Oreochromis niloticus: one gene and its partner. The protein of the gene in region 2 purifies or fractionates together with the protein of the main gene of each other region. This does not show direct contact. Links are inferred from orthologs where the notes say so. Each region holds a gene or a part of one and is shown on either strand. Other genes may lie near its edges.

Evidence for each region. Proteins that work in one complex are often made in the same cells at the same time.
Region 1: the proteins of kinesin-associated protein 3 (region 2) and kif3b purify together in Homo sapiens (co-immunoprecipitation; 7 studies listed by BioGRID and IntAct, counting the BioPlex papers as one, with this or other methods). This does not show direct contact. The link is inferred for Oreochromis niloticus from reciprocal best matches to the Homo sapiens genes KIFAP3 and KIF3B.

The regions. Positions count from the first base shown.
Region 1 is NC_031984.2:32,957,632-32,965,096, reverse strand, and holds the start of kif3b (kinesin-like protein KIF3B), read right to left. Parts: upstream 3,014-7,465; 5' UTR 2,861-3,013; intron 2,812-2,860; exon of another isoform or gene 2,247-2,811; intron 1,794-2,246; 5' UTR 1,695-1,793; coding exon 291-1,694; intron 1-290. UniProt on the Homo sapiens protein: Microtubule-based molecular motor that transport intracellular cargos, such as vesicles, organelles and protein complexes. Uses ATP hydrolysis to generate force to bind and move along the microtubule. Plays a role in cilia formation.
Region 2 is NC_031982.2:1,955,676-1,962,848, reverse strand, and holds the start of kinesin-associated protein 3, read right to left. Parts: upstream 3,003-7,173; 5' UTR 2,884-3,002; coding exon 2,843-2,883; intron 1,830-2,842; coding exon 1,698-1,829; intron 801-1,697; coding exon 643-800; intron 323-642; coding exon 261-322; intron 91-260; coding exon 1-90. UniProt on the Homo sapiens protein: Involved in tethering the chromosomes to the spindle pole and in chromosome movement. Binds to the tail domain of the KIF3A/KIF3B heterodimer to form a heterotrimeric KIF3 complex and may regulate the membrane binding of this complex.

The DNA of each region.
Region 1 (7,465 bases), on a different chromosome or scaffold from region 2:
ACTCCTCAGATACGCACACTACTTAATTTAATTACCCCCTTCTGTAAAAGGACTGCTGCTACCTGAATGAGTATGACTATTTAGACTTGAGTTTGTTTTAGTATTTAGATTTTGTGTTATTTATCCCAATTTATTGCTATGATTTATTACTGCCTTTTTACTGCTCTTTAAAATTTGTATTGACTATTGCACTGTAGAGGCTGGTGAGAAACAGTATTTGCTTCAGCCTGGGTAACACCAAACGAAATGACAAACTTCTTGAAACTCTTGGAACTTAAATATTTGCTTACCTTAACTTTGGCTGCAAGCTTCTCTCCGGCCTCCCTCTCCTTCCGCAAGTCTTCCATTTTCTTCTCCTTCTCTTTAAGAAGCCGCGCTTTCTCCTCAGCTACCAGGCTGTGATCGTCCAGGATTGCTTTTCTCTCCTTTTCCAACTTCTCCTGCTGTTCCCTCCAGTAGTCCCCCTTGTCGTCTCCATCTTCCTCATCGTCCTCTGTCTCGCCACTTTCCAGACCCTCATCATCGCTCCCTTCCCCTGCTCTCCTCCTCAGCCGCCTTCTCTTTTTCTTTCCTGAACGCTTCTGCAGCTGTGCCTTCAGCCTGGCAATCTCCTCCTGAAACTCCCTGAGCAGGGCATCTTTGGGATCTTCATTGATACGTGGTTTGTTCTTGATGTTTTTTGCCCTGTTTGAATAGCGCAGAGTTGTTAAGGTCTCCTCCACGTTATAGGATGCTGGGCCAATGTTGGCAACCATGACAGTGCGGGCATTGCCCCCAAGGGAGTCCTGTAGCAGACGTGTCAACTTCGAGTCTCGGTAAGGGATGTGGCTGCTCCTGCCATCCACCAGAGCTGATATGACATTACCGAGAGCAGAAAGTGACAGATTTATCTTTGTGGCTTCTTTAAGCCTCTCCCCCTGAGCTCCAGTCTTGGTTTGCCTTTCACTGCCAGCTAAATCCACCAGGTTGAGTTTGCCAACTCTTATGTGGTTCTCTCCATCCACACCCAACTCACTGCACTCCACCGTGATGACAAAAATGGCGTGAGAGCGTGAGCTGTGCTCATTCATATTAGTGGCTCCAACTGATCGATTCTGGTTGCCCACATTCATGACATGCTCAATCTCTCGCACACTCTTGGTAACAAATGATGAAAGATCTTTAACATACACACCTGTGTCGGGCCTCTCCCTGAGCTCGAGACGACGTGACTGATCTTTTGAGAGCAAGTCTCTGATCTCCTCCTGGTAGATTTCTAAGTATGACGCTCTGACAAGGTACTGTTGGTTCTGTGAACGTGAAATGTGTGTGAAGATGTGCTCAAAGGAGTTTGGGATCACCCCTCTCTTCTCTGGATCATTTCTCACCCCTTCCATAGTGTAAGTCTTCCCTGTACCTGTCTGGCCATAAGCAAAGATGGTCCCATTAAATCCCAGAAGAACAGACTCAACCAGGGGCCTGAAGGTTTCATCATACATTTCCAGCTGTTTGGAGTTCCAACCATAAACAGCATCAAATGTAAAGATTTTGGGCAGTTCGTTGCCCGAGGACTCCCTTGGGTTTCTCACAATAATTTGGCCCAGTTTGACATCAACAGACACCACGCTCTCATACTTGGCGGCCCGCTCTTTCTCGTTCATAGGACGGCAACGGACCACCACCTTGACTGACTCTGAGCTCTTGCTCTTGGACATGGTGAGGAGCACCTGCCAATCCTTGCTGTTTGGCACCTTGTCTTCCTAAAGAGCAGCTTTAGTAACACTTCAGCAATAGATTGCCCAAATCTGACACTGCTGGGGTGAAAACAATCAGTGAATTACATCTCAGCTGATGGTTAAAGCATCACACAGGTTAAAAGTTCTTACAGTGAAATTCTGCCACCAGATGGCACTGCTTACAAGCGGGTGTTTTGATTTAGGATAAGTACTAGTGCTTAACTTCTGTAAATTTCATGTGTTTTTAGATATCCTCACTTCTGCACGACTTTGTGGAAGATGATGGTTCCACTGGCTCACTGCACTACCTTGTGCTAGAAAGGGGTATTACAAAGAACTAAACCCCAGTCCTAATTCAAACAGCTTGTGTCTCTTTAAGACAACATATAGATGTTTTGGACATATGGTAATGACTGTTGTTTCTTCAGACTCTAGTTGATTCGGGAAAGGTCAAAAGTATTTTTAACTACTTAAGGACAAAAAGGGACACCCACTTGGTTAAGGTAACCGATAGGCAGCGACACTGCTTACCTGGCACTTACATCTGAGCAGCCGTTCCCTTGCACATAATAAAACTAAGCTTCCTAAGACTTTTCCAGCTATCACCGTAAAATACCACAGCAACAGGCATAAGCACACATTACAGTTGTTTAAATAAATAACCGTTTTTTCTATTCACATACAAACTGAAAAAAACAATACCACCGATACACTGTTCTGTCAGAGCATATAGCAATGACACTACTTTAAATTGGCTAACTGGAATTTAGCTAATTAGGTGAAGAAACCTCACCCTGGTTTAAAGTTGGAATATCAGATTATTAAATGACAGCCGTTAGAAAGAAATTTGATAAATGGTCCATTTTACGGTAGCAGCTTAGTAAACGTTAGTAAACGTGATTTGTCAAACTAACGGATCAGCTTTCTAGCGTTAGCTCATGTTAAACACGTCCCATAACGAGACCAAAACACTAGGCTAGCAACTGCAAACAAACTGGTAACCTAAGCTACAAATCTGGTAGCACTGCCCGGCTAACACTCTTAGCAAATGTAAAGATTAATTCAGTATATCGCTACGCGAAATTTCGTGAAACCTACAAACACAACTTTACACCAGCCACACAGAAACGTAATTTAACACTTACCAGTGACAAACGTTAGGTTACGCAAAACTCCCACTGCGATGAAGTGAATCGTCGATGGCAAAATTCCTGCCGAACCAGCAGCGGACCGATTTTGTTGCGCGTCTCCTCGAGAATTTACGGAACGGGTGCTGGAAGTGGCCAAAAATGATCACGTGAATTCTGGCGTTTAACCCTGTAAGACCTAACCCATCAAAAAGTAACCAGAAAATTTAGATTTTTTGGAACTGAGATATTTATTAACCCTTATAACAAAATCCACATTTTTTTTTTTTTTTTTGCTATATCATGTTGTGTATGACATATTTTTATTATATACTGATGATATATTTTTTATATCGCATTTGATACATTGGGCGTTTTTGGCAACTATTTCAACGATGTTATTTTTAGACAAAATAGAGTTTTGTCCATAACATTTTGAAATTATGGCAAGTTTTGATCATGTTGATGAGCTCTCAGGTCTCAGAAACTCATGTATCAAATATGATACAAAGGGCCTTATAGGTTTAACAACAGCTTGTATCCTGTATGGTACATTACCGCCTATTTCTAATTCCTTAGGCAGGAATTGTCATTTCATTCTTTGCACTTGTCCAGCAAAGTTCAGCAACTTTCAAAGACGTCCTTCCCTCTACTGGGTGCCCACACATGAGCACATTTTTAAAATTGACCTCCTTCCTAGCCGTAAACTCTCCGCCTTCTTCGTGAATGTGTGTGTTTTAGTGTGTGTGTGTGTGTGTGTGTGTTAAAGTTCGCCATAGTGAGATTCTAGGTTGGATCAGAGCAAAGCAGAGACAATTTAGTTGACTGGGCAGAAAGGATCAATAATGATAATAAAAAAGTATTTTTTTTTATTAATTTCACAATTTTTATGATCAAAACAGCCACTGGGCCATCGCACATACACTCCAGTGAATCTGTGCTACTAAAGCTGAACTAAGCTTCACTTTTGAATGAGATACAAACCCCAGTTGGCCTAAATGAATACAAATATTATCAGAATTGAAAACCAAAATATTTCTACAACTTGCCAAAATGTTTTGAAAGTTGTACTAAATAAGCATCTTTTTGTACTAGGGTGCCTTCCAAAGCCTAGGCTCGAAACTAAGATCCATCCTTCTCTGCTCGTCTCATGAGATAGCACTATGAACTGAATGCATCTTTTACAACTGTTGAAAAGTGGGTGTTTTTATCCACAGAGCTCCATTTTTGTTTTGTTTTGTTTGTTTGTTTTTTTCAATCTTCAAATAGAGTCAGTTTTGAATCCTTTGCTTCTTATACAAAATTATTCCATTGATTTCATTTCTGATGACGCTTCAGCAAACAGTCAACGGATCAAATGAACGGCCAGATGCATCTCTCAGGTCCCATCTTCGCTAGATTTTTTTCTTTTTCTTAATCGCATAACTTTTACATCATGTTCATCTACTGTATATAGTTTCTTAGTCCACATGACTGCATGAGACTTTGGATGTCAACCCTGCATCTTGCCCTCTCGTCATATATTACTGTTCAAGAATATGACCTGGTGTCATATTTTGGCAAAAAAGGACTTAAAGAGCAAAATAAAAATAAAAAAAAACAACAAAAAAAAAAAACACCACTTGGCAGGTTCAAAGTGTTTATTGACAGACTGGTTTTCTAATAGTGCTCCAGAAACTCCCTGCTTCCAACCCACTACTAGTTGACGAACAGAAGCTCTGACAGAGGGGAGAGGAGTGAACGGTGAATATTGAAATATATTGTAATATCTGCTCTGAGCTTCTGGAAAAAACTGCGTGAGTACATATGCATGTACATTTCATAGTTCCACTCTTAGCTGTAAATTTAAATGAATGTGGAAAAATACAGTGTTGAAATTCCCCGTCTTAAGCTGCATGCACTTTTCTTAACCTAACTTGCACTGGTCAGGTCCATGAATGACATAACATTCTAAAAGCTGAGTTCAAGATTGATTGCATTTGTATACACAAAAAAAAAAAAATAAAAAAAAAAAATATCACTTCCACAGTCTAAAAACCTGGATAGAAACTACTTTTAGACATTTGCATTAATGCAGTTACATCCAAATGACTGAACTACAGTCAGACAGCTAATGTTTGAAATTGGTGTTTTATTACAGAAGCATAATACATTTATTCTTTAGGCCTCAAGCTCAGCACTCATTTCTCAAATAAAATGCACATAGAAATTAGAGTGTGACAATCAAGACTAAAACCTAGGCTGTGTCCGAATTCAGGGGAAGGATGCTTAAAATGCCATATTTGGAGGCAATGACATCACAGAGACGCGACGAGGGCTGTCCGAATTCAAAGAGCACTCAAAATGTGGCGACAAATGTGTCCTACTTTTCCGCGAATTTGAGGGTTAGTCGTGTCCGAATTCAGGGGAAGGATGCTTAAAATGCCATTTTTGGAGTCAATGATGTCACGGTGACGCGACGAAGGCTGTCCGAATTCAAAGAGTGCTCAAAATGTGGCGACAAATGCGTCCTACTTTGCCCTGAATTCTAAGGATGGTCCGATGTATCCTTCATGTCCTACTGTATCCCAGGATTCATTGCGGGTCATAGAGGAGATTTGTTTCTGATAACGATGGTGGTCGAAGCAGGAGAGGAAAACACTTTCAAATGTAAGTATATGAAAATCTGGTTGTACAAAAGTTAAATTGTTATGGCGGTCGTTTTGTTAAGCTTTGGGCATCTGCATAGACATGTTTCTTTTCTTTAAAATAACCGTAAACCAGCTTGTATCGGGGGTCCCGCGATTGTATTGCCGCTTACATACAGCTAATTTTGAGTTTTCCAAATTGGTGATATGTTGTGGGGAACAAAGACCAAACGGCTTAATCTATTGAAACGAGGAGAAAACGATCACCTCTTCACTGGGGTGAAGAATTGGGCCGTTACCGCGTGGATGTACATGAATAAATCAATTTACGCATCATATTCATATGAGTTCGGTCCTATTAACCCTCGTGCTGTACAGCAGCGGTCCCCAACCTTTTTTGCGCCACAGACCGGTTTATGTCAGACACGGAGCCTTTAAGGTATCGCGGATAAATACAACCACATAAAATGATCCGACCAAGACAAAAACTGTGGTATTATGTAAATATAATAATAAACGTGAATGTACTGTGTAATTGTGTAACTTCATTAGCAGCGTCCTCCTGAAAATGCGCCAATATTGACAGTAACATCCTCCTCTCTGCCGCTTAATGCTCTCTGGTCGCTATGGTAACGTGTAAATATTTACTACAACACGGGAAAAGACCCAGGGAAACCGAGTCAACGACAAAACCCCTGAAAACCATAAATTTCACACCAGAGCCTTAACTCTGTGGCCCGGTACCAAACGACTCACGGACCGCTGCTGTACAGAACCTGTGATGTCCAGACGGCATTCCTCTGGTGTTCTGCTGTGAAACTTTTGGATTTAGGGATTAACATAGTTGCCATGGTGTCCTTTCTTCTCTTATTTGTTGTGTGTGATCAGGACAACTCTGGAGAAGATGGGCCTGCAGGGGAAAGTCACCCCCTTGCAGGCCAGAAGACATGAGATAACTTTAAAGAATACAAAGTACGTATGTGTGTTATCAAGAAGATAATTCTTAAGAACACAAGTTAATAAATGTGCAAGAGTTACTAAGAGTTGTTGTGGTGTTTTTATTTGCCTGCTGTGTTTGATTTCCTCTGCCTTTAGGATTGCAAGTATCCAGGCTCAGGAGAGGGGGTCAGTGGGAAGCCCACTGCTGCTACTTGGCCCTGGTTTGCCCTCATGGATGAGGTGATAGGACAGATGCCTTCCATTAAGCCTCCTGTCCTAATTTCCTCTCTCCCTGAGGACAGTCCAGGGCCAAGCACAGCAGTGGGTGACCAAAACGACAGCAATGACGAGGCGGCTCAGCCACCTACGACAGGGAGAAAGAGGAAAAGAGACAGGGATGATGAGCTGCTAGACCTCATCAGAGCGGACATGAGGCAGCAAAGAGAGGCTGAGGAGAGGAGAGCAGGGAGAGGACGGACAGACTGTTTTCACTTCTAGAAAGATTACTTCCCAAATGAGTTATGTATTGAGAAATTTATTTATTTGAATATATTTGTTACATTGTTATATGTGTTGCATTAGTTTAAAGGTTTTATGTTATTAATAAATTGATTCAAACAAACAGTAACTGTCACTGAACTCAATGTGATTTACAGGCATTTGTAACACGTATGAACATAACGCTAACTTTGAACAATATTACTTGGATATTTATTTGATAGCAATAAAGTAAATAACAATAACAATTAAACAAGAATATTTCAAATACACAGTATGTAAAGATGAAACAACAATATTTTCAGTTGTTCACACAGGATTAACCTGAGTAACCTGTTCCTGGACCGTTTTTTGAACAACTGTAATAGATTACAGGAAGTCTCTGGCAGTGTTGCTGAATCTGCCCGAGCAAGATCAGACGTGGATGAGCTGCTGCAACTGAGACCTGCGGTTTGTCTTTTCTGGTCTGTGAGTGGAGAATCACACAGGGTGGTCTGCAAAGAGAGCTTCAGGATGCTTCCTCCCACTGTCCACTGCATCCTCCATCCACAGGGTTTGC
Region 2 (7,173 bases):
GAGAGCTGAGCCTCTGATCTTCTCTGGAATCCCTTCATAGAGCAGTTCAATATACTCATCCACTCTAGTTATACTGGCCTCCTCATTTAACTACAAACACAAACAGACACACAAAGTTATTGACTGATAACAAATGCATTCTTTCACCAGCCAAACTATTTAAACAACACATTTGAGCAACTTCGAGTTGTTGCTATAATGAAGACAGAACACGTGCTTACTGCTGTGTGAGATCAAACTACAGTGGAACAAATGGTTACCTCTATGCCTTCAAATGGTGTCAATTCTTTGGGCTTAACTGTTCTTTTTTCTTTTTTTTCCACTGGTGACAAAACACACACACACACACACACAAACAAACAGCCAAGATAAAGCACATCAGCATTAATTCCAAACTTGAAAACTTGAAACTTAACTTGCATTAGTTTACATTTTCTTTTATTAGCATCACAGTGCATACTTTAGGTCTGCCATTACACTACAACCTCCTTACATGTCTTAATATTTCTAGAATGTTTACAGTACATGCTGGACTAACAAGCTGCCAATCTACATGTGGGACTGAAGTTAGCCAAAGTCGGAATTGGACAGTAAAGATTTTGGGCTCCAGAGCACAGGTGCAATGAAGGTGGTATGACTAACCCTTGCTCTCCACTGGGGATGATTTCCTGTTCTGCAAGTAGTACAGGAGCTGCTCCACCTGGGGCAGACGGGAAGCAGGGATCATCTTACACTCCTCCAGCACTTTCTTTGCCAAAGCTCCCACATCTGTACTAGGAGAAAGACTTTTCATGCGGATACTGGAGCATGAAAAAAAGAGCAGAAGAGAAAGCAGAAGCTAGCAGGTTTCATTAAATTCAAAACAAATATACTGATTGTAAAACTGTGGCCCAACACCCTTTTTTCCTAGCATAAATAATACATATCTTTTTAATCCTTTCCTCAGGCAGAATAGTCCTCTTTTCACAAACCTAATGTAAAAGACACTGTCATGATGTCACCCACTAGTTTGTTTGTGAGGTCCTGTTGTGATGTAAAACCTAAAGACAGACACGCTCAAATGGTAGTAGAATATCTAGTTAGGCCTGCCTTGCAACAAAACCTTATTTATTAGCGTTTATTAGCAGCAGTTAAGACCATAAAGTCATTTTCCAATCAGATAAATCCTTTGCTGCTGATTATTGGGACTTACTTTTCCAACCTAGAAGCTACATTCGTCTTTTATATACAGTATATGCTGCCCAATTATGCTAACGTCACTTGCTGGCAGAATGAAATTAATGTGACAAAACAGATAAATATGAGCCACTGACACATGTAAATGTTACCTTATTTACAAATAGGTATATATTAGTAAATGGGGCAATATTAACTGATAGAAATATGTCAGCACATGACCAAAACATTGTTTTGTAACATGGCTTTGTTACCATCCACCAACGGAATAAAAGTTCATTGCAAAATGTATGGAATTTGTTACATTTTATTTTTAGTTGTCCTCACTATTAAAATATACGAAGAAATGATTACGAATTATCTGTCCAGTTTAGATGGATTAGACTGACAAAGGTTAATTTGACATAAAAATCTAATCCAATCAACTTAAAAGCTCTCCTTTTTAAGGAAAAAAAAGATTTCGAGTTCAAAAGGAAACTGAAATGAAGTGTTTAGGAGCTGTGAGTCAAGAGGCCGCTTACATTTTTTGTCCCTCCTTGCGTTCTCCAAGCATATGTCCTCCACTCTCTCCAAGGATAGATGCCTCCACCTCATAGTGGACTACAAGGGCCTTCTCTGTGGGATGGACGTCCAAACCGCCCACAGTCACTTTGCTTTGAGTGATCAAGAACAGGCAGTACAAAATACGGTAAACACATTCCAGTTATTTAATTTACATCATACCATATAATAACTGCATCGGACGCAAAGCAGCTAGCAAGTTCATTTCACAACAAAATGACTTTACATGTTGCTACAGAAAATAGGTCGTTAATTGCCAAGCCAGTAACAAATCACCAGCACTAACAATAACGCATAGGAAGACACGCCCAGACAGTAGCATAATATTACTATACTGGCTAGCCGGCTAACAATAAAACACGATTTCACAGAGTTGAAGCATGACAAACATGAGCTCAACTCGGTGCAAACCCCTGATTGCAAATAAATTCAACACTACATGCAATTAGCTAGCGATTATCCACCACAGTTTAGCACGGAAGCTTGCTAGCTATTTTAGCTGAAATTCAGAGTTCCAATCCCCCTTCACGTAGGGAAGCTAATAATAAACCCAGTTCAAGAATGAAACATTCTTGAACTGGGTTTATTATTTTACTGGCGGATTTATAAGTCAGTGGAAAACGTGAAATCAGTCGTTATTTGTTTATAAGTTGTCATGCACTGTAGGCTCCTTTTAGAAATAATTGGGTAACTGTGCTAACGAACGGGATGTGAATAGAAGCATGAAGGCTGATTTAAATTGTGAGATATTTTAAGTGACCTTTCTGTCAACTGCATGTACGCCAAACGGACCAGCACGTTGTCGTTATTCATTTAAAACAAAAACAATTATATGCTCGCATTCTGCACCGAGCAAGAAAACAGGAAATTTCCCAGATTGGAAAGGTAATTAAACATCGCGCTATATAGAGAAATGCCATGGATCAGGGCAAGCTAATTAGCAAGAATTTCAATTTAAAAAACGCTTCCTCTTATCTTCCAAGTGTTTGTTAAACGTTCACAGTAAAGCTGACGTGATAGTATGGACACCATATATTACTTAAATTGGCGTACAAGAGACCGTAGCTAGCAAACGATAACATTACTCTTAGAATAATAAACTCACGTTATGACTGACCGTTTGAGATAACGTGCATCATCCTGCATCTTCCTCAGATTTAAACTTCAATATTTTTTAATGAACGTAACAGTACTGATGTGTCGAAGCTCGGGGGAGTTTTTGTGAAGCGCGTATCGAGGCTCGCTTTGATTACGTATGCAGTAGCGTTCGTACCACGTGACTGATTCAGTAACTGGCCCGCCGGTTCGCGACAGATTCGAAATAAAATGGGCAGCAAAACACGCTTTTTTTTGGAATACGCTTTATTGACAAAGCACACAATACAGTAGTGATGGCCAAATGAAGCTTTCTGAAGCACTGAAGCTTGTATTGAAAAACGGTTCATTACTGGAAGCTTTTCAACACAGTCCTCTCTGGTGACATCTGGTGGCCAAAAATATGAAGAGCAGCTTGAATCCACAAAATAAAACCAACTGCTTCATAATGATAGCTCACTCTACAGAGTGGAACTCTGTCTCATATTGGGCTGCTGTTGTGTTGCTTTGAACGTGTATTTTTTGGTGTTAAAAAATGTAGTTTATTTGTTTAATAAATAATTTTGACCAGTAAACTTTCCTTGTGTGAACATGCACCATGGTTTGGTCTTTCTTTGCTTGTGACTTCTTGATGTTGGTAAATACAATAATTGAAAAATACCACGTTACATATAACATACATATAATAATGCACATTATGCAGTATGCTTCTGCTGTGAGGTCCTGCCTCCATGTACTTATGCATTTAATCTCTAGACGGGTATATTTATAAATAATATTATATTAGGGAAATTTGTCTATACATATTTTTGACCTGGGGGTAGAATTGATTGTGAAATGGAAAGGGAAATGCTCATGAACTTGCAAATTAAAAACATGATGCATTTAAGGAAACCCTTTTTCATTTTTATTTAAGAAGAAAATTAGTTCCACTGTGCGATGGCCGAATCTGTTCCTTTTCGTTCAGATAATTTCTCCTGCCTTAAGGAAAATCCCTTCACATGGCACAGAAGAGGCTGGAGTGCAGAAAAACTGGTAGAGATGCAGTTATGGCTCCACAAACTATCAGCTAAAGAGAATAAATAAATTAAATTGCTGCACATTTTGTAGACTAACATTTTAAGGTTATTTTTTTAAATAAAATATATCTTTTTATAACATTAAATGTTACGAGTCAAATGGAAGTTATTTAATGATATTTATATTATGAAAAGCAGATTTTTTACATTTTAAGTTTTTCCCGTTTTCAGATAAAATAAAGACGCACAAAACAAAAGCAAACAGCCAGAACACAAAGCTGGAAAACCCACCCGATTGACCAGAATCAACTCAAAATACTCCCACACAACAGAACCAAATCTCTCAGTAGAATGATCAGTGGTTCGCTATCTGTCACCATCAAGACACTCCACAAATCCCGCAAATGAGAGTTACGTGCGTAATGAAGCTTCGGACGTCTCTGGTCACGTGACTTTTGCCAAACGAAGCAAGCCTCGACCATTGACTGTAGAAAACATGGACGACGCCACAGCTCCCCAAAAATGAAGCCAAAACGTCTCTATCGCCCCCTGGTGTCTGGCTGCAGTATAGGTCATAAACCCCGCCTCCTCCATGTTAGCGGATGGGACTGGGGTCAGAATAAAATAAATTTATTCTCCTTAGATAATTTTTTTCCAAAGATTCTTTCTTTTGTTATCAATAGTTCTCATCATGCTGATTGATGTCCAAGGGGTCTCCTTTCCCATAAGTTTGATTCTAATTCCTACAGCGGCGATGTTAAATTGGGGTGAAACGTCATCATAGCAGCTTTGACTGGCAGCTGCAGTCACGGAGAAACTTGCGTATCTGTGTTCGGGAATAGCAGATAGAGCGTAGGCTCTGAGAGGAGGGCCAGCGTTTACGCTACGAAAACACGACCGAGTGTTTTAACCTGACAGCCCGAGGTGTTCTTCAGTAAACTGGACTACCCGACAGAAGGACCCGAGGCCCCGCTGCATTTTTCGGTAAGTTAATCGTGTTTGTAAGCTAATCCGTAACTACTGTCCTTAGCTATGTCCTGAGACCTAGCTAGCTAAAATGAGCACTCGGCTGTCAGGGTTCGTTTAGCTAATCTGTGCAGGTGAATGAACTTACTAAAGAAATTAAGAGAAACGTTCCGGGCTAATCAGTCACTAATTACTGTTACTGTACTTTTATTACAAGTATTATACTGTAAAAGCAACAGGCTGCACCCTGCTTCAGCTCCTGTGCAGAACTGAATATCAAATATATGCAAACAGCAGCATGTTTTCAGTCTCTTGCCACATCTGTAAAGACAGTAACATTTTTTTAAAAGCTTGTACTTCAGTAACTCCTCATTAATCAGGAACTATGGATTAAAGTACTGTAGTGTATTGTAATACTGAAAAAAATGTAAGAGAAGAACTTCAGATCCTGAGTGTGTGAGGACAGAAGAATCAGCTTTATTTCAATTTTGAGGGATAAAATTTATATCTGAGTTTGATGGTTCTGTTCTCTTTGTGATTACAGGAGCTGCCCTCAGATTCAGACCTCAGCACCACCCAGTGACAGCAGACAGATCATCCAACATGTTAACTGCAAAATGAACTGATGAAAACAGTACAAAGGTTAAAGTACCACATGTCCTGTAGTGAAAGCTGCAGCTTTATTGATAAAGTTAAAGACAAAAAAACAAAAGGATTAATCACTCATGTAACTGTGTCACTATATATCAGCATTAACAGGACCTCAGTTTGGTGTTTCACAAAGCTGCTGATCTCAGACCTGCACAGCTTCCGTTTTAAACACTTGATGTACTCAGCTGCATGAAGAGCATATGAGATTTTCTCTGGCACAATTAAATAAAACCTGATGAAGGTCAAAGGTCGTCACTTGTATGTTGAACTACAAACTTGTCATCTGGAATTCTTTCACAGTTTTCTGCAGATAGTGTGTTATTTACCATAAAGTGATTCAGAGTTATTCATACCAGAGTAACCAGAGAGGATCATATATTTTTTTTAAATATATAACTTTCTACAGGACTGAATATAATATCTTTATGTAAAAGTCTGGAGCCTCTGGGGAGTATCCGAGTATTTATAACATTACACAAACCAAAGGTCTCCATCACAGTATTCATGAAATGCTGGGTTTATCCATCTCCTGGATCGGGCCTACGGAGGAGTGCTGAAGATTTCCCTGTGAGGGAGCTGCTGGTGAAGATCATGAGTCCTGCTTGATCTATGCATGAGCTTCAGTCTTCTTGGTGTTTCTTAAATGAAGCCTCTCTCAGTGGGTCAACAGAACTTCTGGCACAGGACAGCTGTGATGAAAGAAAAGGAAGAAGTTTCTCTAAACCTCTGGACCCAGGAAACCCAGCTTGGTCCTGATGGTCTCCCTCACTAGTTTCTCTCCAGGGTGAATGTAGCTGTTGATAAAATATGGACTCTATTATTAAATGAAAAGAACAAATTAGACTACACTACTGAAACGTTCTGCTGTTTTTTTTAAAGTCTCCATGTTACCAGGCTGTAGAGTACGGTAGAGGGCTCTGAAGATTTAAACAGTTTTAGATCCATTACACTCACAGTCTTATGTTAAAATCTCAAAGGACAGCATTATATTTTTGATATTAACAGTAACTCTGGGCCTCTGTAGAGTGTGCAGATGATCTCATCGCTGTCTAAAAATGGATAAAAACAAACATAAGAAGTGATGAATCCTTCAATAACACAGACTATTAGAGTAGCAGGTGTGTAGCATCGCTAACTAGCTAGCAACAAGCCTCCAACACAGTGCGTATGCTAGCGGCTAATCTAACTAACGAATTAACAACAGAGTGATTTTAGAACTATAAGATGATAAGCTGTGTGTCTTCTTTTATAACAGTGACATGGTTGTATTTACCTTAATTAAACGAGTCGTCAGTCGCGGTAAACCAGCAAAAAAACTCGAGCAGCCGGGCTACGTAAAAAGTGTAGGGGGGCGTGTTTGCGGTCATGTCCAGCGGGTGTGTGGGCGGGAACGTTACACAGTCGCTCCACCTCAAGTCACTACTGCGCAGACTCTGGCTCCAAATTTGCAAGATGGCAGCCTCCACAAGCGGGATATTTTGGCTTCATTTTTGCACAATGGTAGGAGGCGGAGTCGCGTCGTCCATGTTTTCTACAGTCAATGGCCTCGACACAGTGGCCGTTTATCAATGCTCAAGTACGCGAGTACGTACTCGCCGAGAACGCGAGCACGGACTCGTGGGATGTTTCTCAATTCTCAAGTACGCGAGCACGGACCTGTGATTTGTACAGTCGGAACACCTGCGTACGTGATGATGTCACAGGT